2 linked regions of the Pelodiscus sinensis genome follow. The protein of the gene in region 1 interacts with the protein of each later gene in a pairwise test. Links are inferred from orthologs where the notes say so. Each region holds a gene or a part of one and is shown in the gene's direction. Other genes may lie near its edges. The genes, in order: CEBPG and CEBPE.

Evidence for each region.
Region 2: the proteins of CEBPG (region 1) and CEBPE interact in a two-hybrid assay, tested with the Homo sapiens proteins (2 studies listed by BioGRID and IntAct, with this or other methods). The link is inferred for Pelodiscus sinensis from reciprocal best matches to the Homo sapiens genes CEBPG and CEBPE.

Annotation. Positions count from the first base shown.
Region 1 is NC_134722.1:21,967,388-21,976,857, reverse strand, and holds the start of CEBPG (CCAAT/enhancer-binding protein gamma), read left to right. Parts: upstream 1-5,346; 5' UTR 5,347-5,498; intron 5,499-6,021; exon of another isoform or gene 6,022-6,470; intron 6,471-6,577; 5' UTR 6,578-6,780; intron 6,781-6,815; exon of another isoform or gene 6,816-8,334; intron 8,335-9,470. UniProt on the Homo sapiens protein: Transcription factor that binds to the promoter and the enhancer regions of target genes. Binds to the enhancer element PRE-I (positive regulatory element-I) of the IL-4 gene. Binds to the promoter and the enhancer of the immunoglobulin heavy chain.
Region 2 is NW_027465928.1:89,867-98,697, forward strand, and holds CEBPE (CCAAT/enhancer-binding protein epsilon), read left to right. Parts: upstream 1-4,808; 5' UTR 4,809-6,045; coding exon 6,046-6,426; intron 6,427-6,945; coding exon 6,946-7,263; 3' UTR 7,264-7,278; downstream 7,279-8,831. Other genes in the region: SLC7A8 (large neutral amino acids transporter small subunit 2), read left to right, coding at 97-200, 406-502, 642-791, 3,184-3,361, 4,309-4,439; CUNH14orf119 (uncharacterized protein C14orf119 homolog), read right to left, coding at 8,522-8,831. UniProt on the Homo sapiens protein: Transcriptional activator. C/EBP are DNA-binding proteins that recognize two different motifs: the CCAAT homology common to many promoters and the enhanced core homology common to many enhancers.

The DNA of each region.
Region 1 (9,470 bases):
TGGGGATTTTCATGCAGTGGCTGATCACTTCTTGGAAAACAGCCATGGCCCTATGCATTGAAATACTAAGCGATCTCAATCCTTGCAGCCTCATTTGTGCTTTTGGGAAAATAGGACAGGTGTGGCAGTTACTAAACCTGGGTACTTGAGAATTCACCTTTTATTCCCAGGTGCATGCCACTTATTCTCATTCAGACTTGCTTTGGGTTTAATGAGTCCCATTTAAATCTAGTGCATCTGTGATACATTGTATTTTTCTTTCAGTCTGTGCACCTACTTCTTTTTTTCCCATATATAGCTCCTCAGCCTCACCTCTCTGTCACATTGTAGTGATGGGAGCATGACTGATGGCGGTGAGAAGCCTATTATTTGTCCCTGGTCACTTGAAAAAAAAACACCTTTTCATTTGCGTTAGATAACTAAAAAGCCTTATATCAAGCATAGTGCACACTATAAATACTGAGGTAAGATTAGCTAGTGCTTGGACTGCTTGGTCCACTGAAGTAAACAGCAAAACTGCCAATGTTTTTACTAGGAGCAGATTTGGGCTGCTAGTGATCTAAGGCAAACCTGAAAAGAGTGTAAAGGCAGGCACCGCTTGCTATTCTGTTTAAAATCTTGCTAGAACATGATTTACCTTCTCTTTAGATAAGGCTGGCTCAGAGCAGTCTAGAAATGTAGGGATACAGAAGAACTTTTGCTCTTGACTTCACTGGAGGGAGTAATAGCTCAGTGGTTTGAGAATTGGCCTGTTAAACCCCAGATTATGAGCTCAGCCCTTGGGGAGCATTTAGGGATCTGGGGCAATTCTGTCAGGGATGGTACTCGTGAGGGTAGGGGACTGGCTGACCTCTCAAGGTCCCTTCCAGCTCTATAAGATAGGTATATCTCTGTAAGTAAACTTGATTCAAACTTTTCAAAGCTGAGTGCCTCAAATTAGACTACTGTATCAATATTCAGCCTTTTAAAATATAAATTACCTGATGTTCATAGGTGTTGAGTATCTATGGCTTCTTTTGATGTCAGTGGGAGTTATGGGTGGTCAGCACTCTTGAAAAAATTGAGCCATTTAGACACACAAAGTTAACTTTTTGTCTCATATATAATAAAGTTCAAAAATAATATCAAAATCACATGTGACCTAACTTCACAGAGGGACATGATTTAATTCTTGTCTAATTCAAGAAAGTGTATGTTATATGCATCTTGTGATCTGGCATTAGCATTCTATTTATGAAAATGCCAGCACGAAAGTAAAACTTTAAACAGAAATATGCAAGTCAAATTGCTAAATGCAGACTGATTAGATCTGAAAATGTAAGGAAAAGTAAAGGCACATTCTGTTTTTATTTATGAACACAAACATTTGCAGAAGATAGTACAAATAATAAACATAAAACCAAGATCATGCAAATATCACAGTTATTAAAATAAGGACAATATCGTTTTCAAATGCCATGTGATAGGTAGTTGTGAACCATCTTAAAAGAGTTTGTAAGGTTTAAAGGAGAATATGCCTCTTTAAGTAATGACAGCTGCACTTTAGAATATATATATAGATATAGATATATAGACACACAACAGGGTACATCTAGACTACATGCCTCTGACGACAGAGGCATGTAGATTAGACTACCCGGCATAGGAAAATGAAGCAGCGATTTAAATAATCGCCGCTTCATTTAAATTTACATGGCTGCTGCGCTGAGCCGATCAGCTGTTTGTCGGCTCAGCGCGGTAGTCTGGACATTCCGCGGTCGACATCAAAGGTATTTGTCGACCTCCCAGGTATGCCTCCTGCAGGCTGCCATCCGGGAGGTCCATCGGGGGCTGTCAGTATCCAGGAGGTCCTGCGGGAGAGCTTCCACCCTGAGGAGCGCTAAGAGTCTCCCTGGTGTGCCCCACTGGGAGCTTGTGCCTTATTCCTCTCTCATGTCCTTCCACTTACCCTTCCCTAACCCACCTTCCTGATGTCAAATAAAATACACGTATTTTCATGAACACTAACTTTCTTTATTTAACAAAACTGGGGGGAGGGGGAATGAAACTCTGGTGAGACTGGGGAAAGGAGGCGGGAGAGGGGAGGGGGAAACCTGGGAGGAGGGAGCTGGAAGGGGGAAGCAAGAGGAAGAAGGGGGAGGGGAAGCTCAGGGCTCGGGGTTGGGAGTCTTGCCGGACCAACTTGATTGTCATGCAAACCTGCTCCTGGGTTTGCATGTGGCCAGGCTGGCAGCTATCCTGCCATAGACGGCTATGTTCCTCTGCCTACTGCGGAGATCATTGATGTTGGGGGAATCACCCCCAAATCTGAATAAGGTCCATGATCTCCACCCTGGACCAGGAAGGTGCCTGCCTTCTCCGGGCCCTGGCAGGCTCCTGGGAGCTGGCAGACTGCTCCTGGGGAGTGGTGGAGGGCTGGCTGCCAGTGGCTTGGGGCCACTGGGTCAGGAACAGTGACTGCTGGCTCTGGGCTGGCAGGCTTGGAGCTGGCACAGGCACTGTGGCCAGAGTCAACCCCTTTAAGGGCTCTGGGGAGGAGGGCGGGAGAGGAGTGTTCTTGGTTGAGGCTGGAGTGGCCACCAGGGCACCCTAGGAAGGCTGGAGGCCCCCTATTTCGATATGAGCACTTATTTCGAAATATCTATTTTGAATTTGACGTTATTCCTCGTGGAATGAGGTTTACCAAATTCGAAATAAGCGCTCTGCTATTTCAAATTAATTTTGAAATAGCGGTTTGTAGATGCTAGTAAAATTATTTTGAAATAATGGCTGTTATTTCAAAATAACTTTGCTGTGTAAACATACCCTAAGGCACTTGAGGTCCCAGAAATACACAGGTTATTTAAGTGTTACTAGAGCCTGGCTAATGTTTCGTATTTACCTTGATTTTTTGTTTATGCAGTTGGTGTAATATAAGTTAACCTCTAGTGAATAGCTGCAGGCTGCTGTACCACCAAAAAAATCAAGCAGTTTCAACTGGGAAAGAACAAAATTAATGCTGAAGATGTTAAAACAAATATTTGATGATTGATGAGGAAATAATCCCAGACTAATCCTGGGAATTCCTCCTCAAGATATATTTTATTTTTACAGGGTTTATAAAAGGCACATAAGATCAGAAGCCCACTTTTTATTCGCCATGCAGATAAGTACATATTTTTACATGTGCATTTCAGGGTATTTGTGTTGTATCTCGGGAGTTTAAAATTGTTATCCATAAAGCCCCCACACACACAGTGCTTGAGACTTTGGATGTGCGTGTGAGAAAATTTGTTAATCCAATAGTCCTATGCGCTCAACCTGCGATTGCGTGTCTTACTGTGTGTGTCTGTGTGGGTGGGTGGCAGGGCTAAAAACTGTTACACAAATGTTCTCTGTCCACCCTACCACACTGCCTGGCTTTGGAGGAGAGGGTAAAAGTTCTTACCACAATAGACCCCATCCTACTTGTTGAGATTGGGGTGGTGGTTAAATAGAAATTTTACTGCTTTGGTAGGAACATGAGTAAGAACTCCATCTTTATTTGACACTAATGGCTGTGTTAGAAAGAAGGACATTTCCAGAGAGGCCCTGGATGACTTGTTTTCACTTTCAGACCAAGAAGTTGAATCTACATTTGAGAAGTAACCAAGTTCCTCGCATAGAATATAAGAGGGAGCTCACCTGTTGCCCAGTTCAGAAGTGCAATAATATTAGCTTTGTTTACTCTCACTGTTGTCATTAAAATTTCTCCTGGCTGAAGCTAGACTGGTTTGCTTTCAGGAAAGCAGTGTGGCAGATATGGGTGTAGGCAGACATGTCATGTCAGCAAAACATACAAGTCATATGCTTTGGGGGGGAATGTAATGTATTTTGTTTTACATTGACTGGGATGTTCTCCAGGCCTTTAATTAACACCTTATAATGTATTTATCTAATACATTATAATTAGATAATACTAATTATAATACTGGGAGATCATTGGAGATATTGCAGGAAGGGTTCAACAAAGAAACAAGGATGCAATATCAGTGAGAATGTCCAGTACTTATACTTTTGGTTGCTAAAAATTACTACAAATTCCTGAATTTCAAAGATTGCCAATAAGAGTTCTTGTGCCTAGATGTCACCAAAATACAGAAAGACAAAGGTGAATAAGATCAGAACCTAAAATGAACTGTAGAGACAGCCACAGAAGGTTCTTCAAGAAATGAGGGTTGTTGGCTTTCCCCTTTTTTCGTTTTGTTTCTGTTTCTTTTGTTTTTTTATGGTACATGGCTTTTTTGGTCCAGTTTGTTATAGAGACATAACTTGTTTGTAAAGCTAGAGCATTTTTCCTCTGAGTATCTTCTAGGCACCTACTCTCATGCCAGCTGGAACCAGAGGTACAAGGGGTAGGGGGGTGTGCTCCCAGCTTGAAGTGATTTCCATTATGTGCAGGGTATACAGTTTGGTTGAATGGCTCTCAGGACCCCCACTGTAAAATTTGTTTCAGCACCCCTGCCCACTCTTGCCCCCATCTCAGTCAGTGTATGTCTACACTACAGAGTTTTGTCGGGAAAACGGCTGTTTTTCCGACAAAACTTGAGTAACATCCACACTGCAATTGCGTTCTTTCGAAAGTAAATCAAAAGAAGAAAAGTTTTTTTCTAACCTTGGTAATCCTCATTCTATGAGGAAGAAGCCTTTTTCCGAAAGAGCTCTTTTGGAAAAAAGCGTGTGTGGATGGGGTAGAGGGAGGTCTTTTGGAGGAAGAGGAAAATGCACAGGTGCCCTGGTGGCCACTCCTCCCATAGTAATCACAGCTTAACTGTGAGATAGTGTCTATTAAGTGGGGATGCTATCTTTTGAAAAAGCAGGTAGCTTTTTCCATGTGCTTTTGCTGTGTAGATGCTCTATTTCAGAAGTTTTTTCAGAAGATCTCTGCCTGCAGTCTAGACATAGCCTCAGTGTCTGTTGGGGGAAGAGGGAAGAGGTGGGTGGGGTTCTGGTGGTAACAGGTTTCCCCCAAATCCCAGGCAGTGTGTGTGTGTGTGTGTGTGTGTGTGTGTGAGTGTGTGTGTGGGCGGGGCTATGGCGGTAACACGTTTTCCCCAATCCCAGCCAGTAGGAGGAGGCTATTGGAATAATTGGTTTACCAGCCCCCCCCCCCTCCCCGGCCGTGGGGGACGCTACTGGGGTAACAGCGCTGCCCATGCTCTGGTCGGGATGGGGGCGCGGGGGGAAGGAGGGAGGGTGGGAGCAGCGCCCAGCCCCTGGGGGATTTACCAGCCCACAAAAACAGCGCTTCTCGCTTTAAGAGAGCAGCGGGGGTGTCCGATTGGCTGAGGGGACTGCCAATCGGCGCGGCCATTGCATCATCCCTGCGGCAGGCCGGCCGCTGATTGGCCAGGACGCTGGGCGAAGGAGAAGGGTTTCGCAATCGCCGCTCGCCTCACTCGCCAGTTTTAAAGAAAGAGACTCGGGCCCAGCCCGCGCCCCCCACCCCCGATCGATACCGCTCTCCATCCCTGGGCCAGGTGAGGCGCGAGGCCGCCCCGCCGCGCGCAGACCGACCCCCCCCCCCGCCCGTTCCGGCGCGGTATCCCCGGGGGCGGGGGGCTCACACCGGGCGCAGGCCGTAGCGGGGCGGCGCGGGAGCAGGCGGCAGTGGGGCTGCTGCAGGAGGACCATTGGGCAGTGGTGGGAGGCTACGGGGGTCTGGGGAGCGCTGGGTGCTGGCGGGGTCTGCAAGGGGAGGCGTGTGTGGGGTGGACATGGGGGGGGCTGGTCAGCGGGGAAGGGGTCAGTACGGGGTGGGGGTCTGGGCTGTGGGGAGTCTTGGGGGTGTAGCTACCGGGGGCGGGGTCTCTAGGAGTGGGTGGGGTGGGGAGGGGGGGTCTAGTCAGTGGGGGCGGGGTTTGTAGGGGCATGGCGTGGGGCTGGGAGGTGGGGGTGTGAGGGAGGGCTCTGCTCAGTGGGGGTGTCTGGGGTAGCGCGGGGGGGTGGTGGGAGAGGGGGCTGCTCGCTAGAGAGACGTTTGGGGAAGGGAGAGAGTGTATGGGGGGGGGGGGGGGGGAGGCCGGGACTTTCCTCACGGTTACGCTCGCGTGGAGAGCGTATGATGCAATCTCCAGGCAACTCTCCTCCCCGATGGGATGAAGTCATGCTTGGCACGGAGAGGGGAGCCCGGGGAGAGGGAGACAGGCCTCTGCTCCCCTAGTAGCCAGCCTGCTTCCTGGTGGGGGAGTGACAGGCCCTCCTCCCTGCCTAGTTCCCAGTGAGGCAGCAGTAAGGGCAGAGGGAGAGAGCTACAGCCACATACCCTCATGCTAAGAGAAGTGTAAATAGTGACCTAGAAATCAACAAGAGGATGATTGAGGCCTAGAGCACAAAATCGAATAACCGCTGCAGCAAGTTAATTTGTTTGCAAAATGTGTAGTTGCCGTACACAAGCTTTTATTGGGCCTTTTTGGAAATGGAAGATCCCGTCATTCAAAGACACCAGCAAGGTGGGCTAGGAGCACAGCATATTAATAAAAATATCTATTGTTCATATTTATGCACATCATGATGTATTAGCTACTGTATTAAGTGATTCCTTTATCTTTCTTTTAAGAGAGATCAAAATAGTTTCTGAAGAAGAATATAATCCTTGGTGTTTAGAATGAAGCCCTCTTCCTTTCCTGTTGGGTGCTGTGTTATACTGACTTCCTGGCGGAAACCAACATTGTAAACAGCACTGTTTAAAGTCAAACGGGAAGTAAACATAACTTTAAAAACAAACAGGAATTTTAAAAAAGTATCGTGTGTGAGGAAAAGGTACTTTTAAAAAATCCTTTATATTTGTAAGGTTTTCATAGTTTACAATGACAGAGCCTTGGAAGTTAAAGGTGAAGACCCATGGTTTTGTCAAAGGATTGGGAAACTTATGAAAAGGTTTTAGCGGGAACGTATGTATGGCTGTTTAGAAACGTATGTACTTCTGTATTTCAGCAAAGTTACCACCTAAGAACCCTGATCTGCAGACTCTTCAACATCACAAGTAACATGTAGAAAAGGGATGAAAATATATAGTTAGAATAGAGTAGTTCTTTTGAGTGACACTTTTACAGGGATTCTCTCATTGTAGCCACAAATTTAGATCATTGGAGGCTTTTCAAATGTTTTTGTAAATTTAAAAATATTACAAGTGGAAACGAAAGAGTTGATTAAAAAAAAGTCCCTTGTATTGTTTACAATCTGAACGTTGGTAACTTGAAAATGAAACTTACTATAAATGAAAAAATAAACTTACTGTTATCTGAGTCAGAGGAAAAGTTATAAATACTGAAAAGTAAATTAACTTTTAAGTTTACTAGGGGGCACAGATCCCTGCTCGCCAACCTCCCTCTCTGGGGGTAGGCAGCCCTGGCTCTCCCCCCCCAGGTGGGGGGAGGGGAAAGCAGGTTGGGCCAGGCTGAGGCTGCGGCTGACCCATCTCTCTCCCTCAGGCTATGAGGGATAATAATACTGACATCCTTTTTAAAGTCTTTTGACAGCCATGGATGAAAAGTACTGTGCAAGGGCTAAATATTGTAATTATAATTACTAGTCAGTAAAAGACAGGAATTCTCAAATGAACTCTTTATATTGGTATGGAGTTGCACATCACCTTCCTTTCCCATGTGAAAATTGACATATATGACTTTCTGGTGACTGAACTAAGCCAGTTAAGAAAAAACAGGGACACCACAATAAGGGAAACAGTCCTTCGTATAGACAGACTATAGCCCTGAAGATACACATTTGTCTTTACTCTTACAGCAGACATTAATAAGCTCAGTGTCTCATTTACAACCATCTGTGTTGATCTATTATCTGTGTGCAGGAGTCAGATAATCAATCTGTTGTGCTATGCCTAAACAATCAGGTCTTGTGTTAGTAACTGGTCATTTTATTCAAAAATGGTATTTTCCTTTAATCCAACATGAATAGAGATCAGTCCTGTTTTTGAACTGTCAGTACTTGTGAGTCTCCCCGAGGTGGTGGTGTGTGTTTTTTATACACAACTTGTGTTTGCAGGCTCAGTTGCCTCAGCTTGTTAGGTTCTCTTAATATCACTGTTACATACTTCACATGGCATGTATGCTGTTTGTACATACCTGGCACTTGGATGAAATCTGGTTTTCCTGGATTTCGCACACATGTACTATATATCCTGCCTCTTTTATGGGCACAACTGATTGTGATACTTATCTCTTACTTTCAGTTTTCATGTCCTGGGTTGGTTTATGAAGAATCTAGCGTATACAGGAGAGAAATTATGTATCTTCTTGTGAACAGAGTTTTGATTCTCTGGTTCTCAAACTGTGTCGGGACTAAGGATGTTAAGTGGTGGGTAATTCGCTAATTGTATAGTTGATAAAATTTAGTGGATAAGGGAAGAAGTGCTTAGTTCTGGCTTGTGCCAAGTCTGGGGGCTACCCCTCTGTGGTTCTGCAGTTTAAATGTAGGAAGAGCCAGGCTGCCCACCCACCCAGCTCTTACTACCTTTAAACTGCAGAGCCGCAGCAGTGGATAGTTCCCGGACCCAGCGTGAGCTGGGACTGAGCAAGTCTGGCTGAGTCCTGGTTCATGCCATGTCCAAGAGCTGCCCCTGCTGTAGCTCTGCATCTTAAATGTAGTAGGAGTTGGGTGGGCAGACAGCCTGGTTTCCACTATGTTTAAACTACAGAGCTGCAGTTGAGGTACTTCCTGGACACAGCGTGAGCTGGGACTGAGCTGGGCTCCCTGCCCAGCCGGAGCATCCCCTGTCCATAGTGGCCTATTCTGGCTGTGGGCAGAGGCTGTTCCAGCAGCAGCCCCTGTCAACAGGGTCCTAGCAGGAGGCAGCAGCATGGGAGGTGGCACCATGGAGGTGGTGCTGGGAGGGAGGAGGGGAATCGGCTTTTAAGTCGGCTCCTGCTTCCCTTCCCCCTGCTGCCTCCAATACAGAGGCAGTGGGGGCAGAGGGAATGTGAGTAGTCAACTACTCACTCACATCCCTAGTTGGGACTCCAGGCTGGGTCACAACCTGATTTTAATGGCGTTATCAGAGCTCACTTAAACTGCTGGGCCCAAGGCCAAAGCACAAGTCCCATCATCCTGGGGCTGAAGCAAAAGCCCCTGACTTTAGTTCTGGGTGGTAGGGCTCAGGTTACAGGCACCCTGATTTGAGCTAAAGCCCTTGCCCTTTGGCCCTCTTCCTGGGATGACAGGGCTTGGATGTGCTCATGCTTCTGGGTTTCTCCTGGGGTCATGTAGTAATTTTTGTTATCAGAAGGGAGTTGCAGTGCAATGAACTTCTGTATTAAATTATTTGAAAACAGAGGGCTGCTGAGTACATTTAAAAAATATTTGAAAATGAAGTTTAGGTATAACCATCTCTGTCCCAAGATATTAGAGACACAAGGTGAGTGAGGTCTTTCTAGTCCTTATAAATGATGGGTAAGATTGTGTATTCAGTGACTTATAGATTTTTCAGACATCTG
Region 2 (8,831 bases), on another chromosome or scaffold:
TCCGTCTCCACCGCTCGTCCCAGGAGCCGCTGCCCTGGCCCCGCCCCCTGCACGGAGCCTTCCCACTCACTTCCGACTCCTCCCTCTTCCCCCCAGACGTTCGGGGAGAAGCTGCTGGGTGTCATGGCCTGGATCATGCCCATCTCCGTGGCCCTGTCCACCTTCGGGGGAGTCAACGGCTCCCTCTTCACCTCCTCCCGGTAAGTGACCCCATCCCAGCCTGCCCGCCAGGCCCAGAGCCGCATTCCCTGCAGCCCAGTGTTCACCCTGAACCCTACTGATGGCACAGATGGCCACGCCCACTGACCCCAGGCCTGCTCTGCTCTCCCCCCACCCACAGCCATGCCTGACAAGCCCAGACCCTCCCCCTTCCAGCCCCACACCTACTTCTCCCCTCCCCCGCAGGCTGTTCTTCGCAGGAGCCCGTGAGGGCCACCTCCCCAGCGTGCTGGCCATGATCCATATGCAGCGCTGCACCCCCATCCCCGCTCTGGTCTTCACCGTGAGTCACTGGTGCCTGCTGGGGGCGGGATTTCAGGCAGGGGGTGAAGCTTGGAGAATGGGGCAGGGGCGGGGCTTATGCACTGACAAGGGGTGGGATTTCGGAATGGCCCCGCCCCCACGGCCTCCCCTCTCCACAGTGCCTGTCCACCCTGCTCATGCTGGTGACCAGCGACATCTACACCCTCATCAACTACGTGGGCTTCATCAACTACCTGTTCTACGGGGTCACCGTGGCCGGGCAGATCGTGCTGCGCTGGCGGCAGCCGGACATGGTGCGCCCCATCAAGGTGAGCCCCGCCCCCGCCTCCCGTCACGGTGAGCCCCCCTCGTCCCGTCCCAGTGAGTTCACGCCCCCCCCGTCTGGCCCGCCCCATCAAGGTGAGCCCCGCCCCCGCCTCCCGTCCCGGTGAGCCCCCCCCGTCCCGTCCCGTCCCATCAAGGTGAGCCCCGCCCCCGCCTCCCGTCACAGTGAGCCCCCCCTCGTCCCGTCCCGTCCCAGTGAGTTCACGGCCTCCCCGTCTGGCCCGCCCCATCAAGGTGAGCCCCGCCCCCGCCTCCCGTCACGGTGAGCCCCCCCTCGTCCCGTCCCAGTGAGTTCACGCCCCCCCCATCTGGCCCGCCCCATCAAGGTGAGCCCCGCCCCCGCCTCCCGTCACAGTGAGCCCCCCCTCGTCCCGTCCCGTCCCACTGAGTTCACGCCCCCCCCCGTCTGGCCCACACCATCAAGGTGAGCCCCGCCCCCGCCTCCCGTCACGGTGAGCCCCCCCTCGTCCCGTCCCACTGAGTTCACGCCCCCCCCCGTCTGGCCCACACCATCAAGGTGAGCCCCGCCCCTTGTCCCATCGCATCACAGTGAGGTCACGCCCCCCCGCCTGGCCCGCCCCATCAAGGTGAGCCCCGCCCCCGCCTCCCGTCACGGTGAGCCCCCCTCGTCCCGTCCCAGTGAGTTCACGCCCCCCCGTCTGGCCCGCCCCATCAAGGTGAGCCCTGCCCCCGCCTCCCGTCACAGTGAGCCCCCCCTCGTCCCGTCCCGTCCCAGTGAGTTCACGCCCCCCCGTCTGGCCCGCCCCATCAAGGTGAGCCCCGCCCCCGCCTCCCGTCACGGTGAGCCCCCCCTCGTCCCGTCCCACTGAGTTCACGCCCCCCCCCGTCTGGCCCGCCCCATCAAGGTGAGCCCCGCCCCCGCCTCCCGTCACGGTGAGCCCCCCCTCGTCCCGTCCCACTGAGTTCACGCCCCCCCCCGTCTGGCCCGCCCCATCAAGGTGAGCCCCGCCCCCGCCTCCCGTCACGGTGAGCCCCCCCTCGTCCCGTCCCACTGAGTTCACGCCCCCCCCGTCTGGCCCGCCCCATCAAGGTGAGCCCCGCCCCCGCCTCCCGTCACAGTGAGCCCCCCCTCGTCCCGTCCCGTCCCAGTGAGTTCACGCCCCCCCCGTCTGGCCCGCCCCATCAAGGTGAGCCCCGCCCCCGCCTCCCGTCACAGTGAGCCCCCCCTCGTCCCGTCCCGTCCCAGTGAGTTCACGCCCCCCCCGTCTGGCCCGCCCCATCAAGGTGAGCCCCGCCCCCGCCTCCCGTCACAGTGAGCCCCCCCTCGTCCCGTCCCACTGAGTTCACGCCCCCCCCGTCTGGCCCGCACCATCAAGGTGAGCCCCGCCCCTTGTCCCATCGCATCACAGTGAGGTCACGCCCCCCCGCCTGGCCCGCCCCATCAAGGTGAGCCCCGCCCCCACCTCCCGTCACAGTGAGCCCCCCCCGTCCCGTCCCAGTGAGGTCACGCCCCCCCCGCCTGGCCCGCCCCATCAAGGTGAGCCCCGCCCCCACCTCCCGTCACAGTGAGCCCCCCCTCGTCCCGTCCCGTCACAGTGAGGTCACGCCCCCCCCCCGCCTGGCCCGCCCCATCAAGGTGAGCCCCGCCCCTTGTCCCATCGCATCACAGTGAGGTCACGCCCCCCCCGCCTGGCCCGCCCCATCAAGGTGAGCCCTGCCCCCACCTCCCGTCACAGTGAGCCCCCCCTCGTCCCGTCCCGTCACAGTGAGGTCACGCCCCCCCCGCCTGGCCCGCCCCATCAAGGTGAGCCCCGCCCCCCACCTCCCGTCACAGTGAGCCCCCCTCGTCCCGTCCCGTCACAGTGAGCTCCCACCCCCCCGCCTGGCCCGCCCCATCAAGGTGAGCCCCACCCCCCCTCGTCCCGTCCCGTCACAGTGAGCTCCCACCCCTCCACCTGGCCCGCCCCATCAAGGTGAGCCCGCTCCCTCATCCCGTCCCATCAGGGTGAGCCCTTCCCGGCCCTCTGCCCCGCACTGGCCTGCCCCATCCAGGTGACCCCTGCCCCCCCTCCGGCAGCCCACACCATACCGGTGAACCCACTCCCCCGCCTGGTCTGCCCTTTCAAGATGAGCCCCCCTCCCCCCGCCTGACCCATCCCATCAGGGTAAGCCCCCCTCCCCCTGTGGCCTGCCCCATCCAGGTGAGCCCCCCCACGGCCCTCCCGCCCGCACTGGCTCTGCCACGGCCCAGCCCATCCAGGTGAGCCACCCCCCCGCAGCCCGCCACGTCCCATGGCCCTCCCCCCACGCCATCCAAGTGAGCCCCCCTGCCCTCCCGCCTGATCAAGGTGAGACCCGCCCTGGGTGCCCCTCCCACTGCGCCTCCTGCCCCCGCTAAGCCCCCTGTCCCCACAGGTCAGCCTGTTCTTCCCCGTGATCTACCTGCTCTTCTGGGCCTTCCTGCTCATCTTCAGCCTGTGGTCGGAGCCGGTGGTGTGCGGCGTGGGGCTGGCCATCATGCTCACCGGGGTGCCCGTCTACGGGCTGGGTGTGGCCTGGCGCCGCAAGCCACCTGCCGTCTACACCTGCCTGGGTAAGTGGGCTGGCCGGGGGGCAGGGGCACAGGGCTTGGGGGGACAGCCGGCCAGGCACAGGGTAGGGACGGGAGGGGGAAGAGGGACAGCTGGCTAGGGGTGGGGAAGGGAGCGTCTGTCTGGAGGGCGGCGGAAGGGCCACGCCCCCCGTTCTCTAACCCCCCGTCTCCCCCAGCTGGCTAGGGGTGGGGAAGGGAGCGTCTGTCTGGAGGGCGGCGGAAGGGCCACGCCCCCCGTTCTCTAACCCCCCCGTCTCCCCCAGCTGGCTAGGGGTGGGGAAGGGAGCGTCTGTCTGGAGGGCGGCGGAAGGGCCATGCCCCCGTTCTCTAACCCCCCGTCTCCCCCAGCTGGCTAGGGGTGGGGAAGGGAGCGTCTGTCTGGAGGGCGGCGGAAGGGCCACGCCCCCCGTTCTCTAACCCCCGTCTCCCCCAGCTGGCTAGGGGTGGGGAAGGGAGCGTCTGTCTGGAGGGCGGCAGAAGGGCCACACCCCCCGTTCTCTAACCCCCCGTCTCCCCCAGCTGGCTAGGGGTGGGGAAGGGAGCGTCTGTCTGGAGGGCGGCGGAAGGGCCACACCCCCCGTTCTCTAACCCCCCGTCTCCCCCAGCTGGCTAGGGGTGGGGAAGGGAGCGTCTGTCTGGAGGGCGGCGGAAGGGCCACGCCCCCCGTTCTCTAACCCCCCGTCTCCCCCAGCTGGCTAGGGGTGGGGAAGGGAGCGTCTGTCTGGAGGGCGGCGGAAGGGCCACGCCCCCCGTTCTCTAACCCCCCGTCTCCCCCAGCTGGCTAGGGGTGGGGAAGGGAGCGTCTGTCTGGAGGGTGGCGGAAGGGCCACGCCCCCCGTTCTCTAACCCCCCGTCTCCCCCAGCTGGCTAGGGGTGGGGAAGGGAGCGTCTGTCTGGAGGGCGGCGGAAGGGCCACGCCCCCGTTCTCTAACCCCCGTCTCCCCCAGCGGCAGTGACGCGAGTGACCCAGAAGATGTGTGGGGTGGTGTACCCCGAGATGGAGTCCCCCGACCCCGAGTGCACCGAGCAGCTGGAGCCCATGTGCCACGCCGGGGACCCTGATCGGCCCCACGACTGAGCCCCTCACCCTGCCATGGACTGTGCCCCATGGTGCCCACCTTGCCTCTGGCTCTGCTCCCCCAGACCCCTCTCTGCCCCCCTCCCCCAGCGCCCCCCGCTGGCAGAGGCGCGCCCTGGCAGGGGCAGATGCCTTAACCGTTCTCTGGCCCCGACAGCCGGGCCCCGACTTTGTGGCCTTTTCCATTGTTTGTCTCTGGTTTTTGATGTAATAAATTAAAGTGACCTCGCCATGTGGAGCCTGCCTGGGGGCTGGGGAGGGTGAGAGCGGGGGCTGCCCACAGCCCCCCTTGCGGGGACCCGGCCAGATCCCCCCAGTGACTCCTGCTGGGACCCCGCCCAGCTAGCACCTTCCCGCTCTCCCTGCTGTAAGGCCAGGCGGGGACCCCCTGCCATCCCGGCCCCATTCCGCACGCCCCTGCCAGCAGCCCCTAGCTCCTCCCTACCGCTCCTTCATGGAATGGTGCCACCTTGTGGCCAGAGGTGGGTCTTGCCCTCTGGGTTGCAGGATGTGGGGGGCTGGGCTGGGAGGGGGCTGCCGACTGGGAGTCAGCAGTGAGCTGGGGGCAGCTGGAATGGCAGGGGCTGTGGGTCAGGTGTGTGGGGTGCTCCCGGAGCTAGGGGGGCAGGATTGGGCAGGCAGGGGCTGCTGGTGGGGAACGAGGGGAACCAGTTGGGCTGGGCGAGCTGTGGGTGGAGTCTGCGGGAACGGCTTATGGGGCAGGGCTGTGAGAAGTGAAATTGGGGTGTGCTTTGAAAAGGGGGCTGCAAAGGGAAAGGTTACCCCATTTCTGGGGTAGGCCCCACAGGGCTCCCCTGGATGTTGGGGACAGACACCCAATGCCATCCCCTCAGACCCTTGGGGGGGCAGGGTGGGGTCCCCTGGTGTCATCAGCAGGGGGAGCTGGGAGTCCATCGGAAAGAGGAAGGAAAAGGGGGGCGGGGGGACGGGGGGAACGTGAGAGACAGAGAGAGAGAAGGAGGCAGAGGGAGGAAGAGAAGCCAGGGAGCAAGGCAGACAGGGGCTGAGTGCGAGAAGGGACGGCGAGAGGCCGATGAAGTAGGGACAGACGGAGCGAGGAAAGAGCCGACAAGGAGAGAGAGAAGGAACGAGAGAGAACGGAGGGAAAGGAAATCCGACGCAGGGAGAAAGAAAACCCAAGCAAGCGAGGAGCGGGCAGAGAGAACGAAGGAGAAAGTGGCCGATGGAAAGAAAGAAACGAAGGAACGAATCAGCGTGAAAAAGAGGAAGAGAAGTGAGAACAACCAGCAGGTCCAGGAAGGAACAAGAGAAAGAATAAGAGAATGACAAAGTGACTGAAGGCAAAGGGCAAGCGGCAAGTGGCAGGAGAGCGGCGGAGGCGCGAGCCGGTGGCGAGCGGCGGGAGAGCGGCGGGAGAGCGGTGGAGGCGCGAGCCGGTGGCGAGCGGCGGGAGAGCGGCGGAGGCGCGAGCCGGCGGCGAGCGGCAGGAGAGCGGCGGGAGAGCGGCGGAGGCGCGAGCCGGTGGCGAGCGGCGGGAGAGCGGCGGAGGCGCGAGCCGGTGGCGAGCGGCGGGGAGAGCGGCGGAGGCGCGAGCCGGCGGCGAGCGGAAGGAAAGAAAGCGTCCATGTCGCAGGGGGGGTTCTATGATTGCGAGCGGGCCCCCCCACGTCCCATGGTGGCCGAGCTGGGGGCGCTCGGGGAACACGAGGGCTCCATCGACCTGGCTGCCTACATCGGCGACGAGCAGCTGCTGTCGGAGCTTCTGCAGGGCCCCCCTCAGCGGGCGCAGAAGAGCACCCCCTTCCCAGGCTACCTGCAGGGGGAGCCCTGGGGCTATGGGGGGCCCCACAAGGGCTACGGCGCCCTGGTGAAGGAGGAGCCACGGGGGGCTGAGCCCGGACGCCGTGGCGGCTACAACCCCCTGCCCTTCCAGGTGGCGCACTGTGGGCAGACGGCCGTCAGCCTGCCCCCGGGGGGCACCGCGCCGGCCCTGCGCACGCTCAAGGTAAGGCGCTCTCACTCCTGCCCTGCAGCCCCCCCCTCCCTGAAGTGACCCCCACAGCCCCCCATCCCCCTCACTCCTGCCCTGCAGCCCCCCCCTCCCTGAAGTGACCCCCACAGCCCCCCATCCCCCTCACTCCTGCCCTGCAGCCCCCCCTCCTGTCCCGAAGTCACCCCCACAGCCCCCCCATCCCCCTCACTCCTACCCTACTGTCCCCTCCCGCCCTGAAGTGACCCCCACAGCCCCCCATCCCCCTCACTCCTGCCCTGCAGCCCCCCTCCTGCCCTGAAGTGACCCCCACAGCCCCCCATCTCCCTCACTCCTGACCTGCAGCTCCCCACGGTGCCCCCTGTGCCCCACCCACAGCCCCCACGGCACCTCTGCACCCACAGCCCATAATGGCGTCCTGAAGTGACCCTCAGTGCTCCCCCCAGTGCCCTTCCCATCCTGCACTGACCTTCACTCCTGACCAGTGCCCCCCAGCACCACCTGCAGCCCACTGGGCCCGGTTTCTCTCGCCAGGGCCCCTCCTGCAGCCCCCTGCTGGCCTCGCCGGGCCCCCCCAAGGGCAAGAAGGCGGTGAACAAGGACAGCCTGGAGTACCGCCTGCGGCGGGAGCGGAACAACATCGCCGTGCGCAAGAGCCGGGACAAGGCCAAGCGGCGGGTGCTGGAGACGCAGCAGCGGGTGCTGGAGCTGGCGGCGGAGAACGAGCGGCTGCAGAGCCGGGTGGCGCAGCTCAGCCAGGAGCTGGACACGCTCCGGGCCCTGTTCCGCCAGGTGCCCGAGGCCGCAGCTCTGGGCAAGGGGCTGGGAGGCTGCGGAGGGGGCGGCCAATAAACATGCTGAGACGCTCGGGCCCTGGTGATCTGTGGGGGGAGGAGGGCTGAGGAAACGGGAAACTGAGGCAGGGAGGCAGCGGGGCTAGAAGCAGGACTGGGGGGAGCTGCCCCCGTCTGGCTACACTAGCACTGGGATCCTGGGGGAGGGATGTGCCCCGGCTCACAGGCTGCCTCGCCCAGGCCCCCACAGCTGGCCCGGTCCCAGGCCCTGGCCCGCTCTCCCCTCCCCCGGCCAAGGGGGGTTGTGCAATGCAGGTTGGTTCAGCCCGTGGTTGGTGTCTCAACCTCCGGACCTTCCTTGGGGGCAGGGCAGAGGGGCCGTGTCCCCCCCGGGGTGGAGCGTTCCCCCTACTCCCTCCCCCCGTGTGGGGTAAGGTCCTGCCCCCCTTCTCTCTGCCAGGGAGATTACTCGGAATTGTGAAAGCGGCCGTTACCCCGCGGCCCCTGCACTGGGGGTTTCCATGGGGTGTTTGCGAAACTCCCGGCCTGGCTGTCGTCACCCGCAGGGCGGAGCTGGGGAGATCCTCCCCCCACACCTCTGCAGCCCCCTTCCCTCGCCCCTCTGCACCCCTCCCCCAGCCCGTCTTCACCCCGCACCTCTCCAACCCCTGCCTCCTTCACCAGCTTCCTCTCCACCTCGGCAGCCCCCCGGCAGCGCTGGGAACAGACCACACGGGGGCGCTCCACCCACTCACTGTTTATAAACAACGCCTCCCTGCCCACTCCCCAGTGTCCCTGCAGGCTGCTCCAGGCCTGTAGGTCCTACGGAAACAAGTCCCCACGAAGAAACAGCCGCTGGCATCGCCCCCAGCGGTGGGGCAGAGAAAGTGTTGTTGTAGGGTCTATGTCAACACAGGCCGCACTGGCAAGTCGCATGGAGGCTCCTGGCTGGCTGATGCAATAGCACGTAGATCACAGGCAAACAGACTCACTTACTGTAGGTCCTACAACAATAGCAATCAGCGGATGACAGCACAGTTCCTCCCATGACAGTGGCGGGAAGGGATTTTCAGGAGGTCCATGTGCCTTCCCCACAGCTCCCGACTTACTGTAGGTCCCACATAAACAGAAGTCCTCTTGATGAAATCAAGGCTCGTCCTGCCGCACGAGGGGAGGGGCATTCCCGGAGCTGCCATGCTCCCGCGGTAACATTGGAGGTGCAGTGTACACAGCTCACCTTACTGTAGGCCCTACGTAAACCACTCCAGAGCAACGTGGCCGGGGAGAGATTCTCTGGGTGCGAGGCCATGGGCCCCTTACTCCTGCCCAGCGGTGCCCGCCAGCTGGCGGTAGAAGAGGGCGGTGAAGGCCGGCTCGGCCTGCTCCAGCTGGTCCAGAAAGTGGTTCCGCTCCGGCTCGCTCCAGCCCCGGAACCACTGGTCCCAGAGGCGCAGCTGGCACTGGAAGAGGGAGGGGGGCGCCCCGGAGAGACTCAGCCCCTCCAGCCCCTCCAGCAGGGGGCGCAGCTTCCCAGGCACGGCCTTGGCCAGCAGGTCCCGCAGGAAGCGCTGCCGCTGGGGGGGCGACCAGCCGGAGAACCAGTGCAGGACACAGCGCATCTCCTGG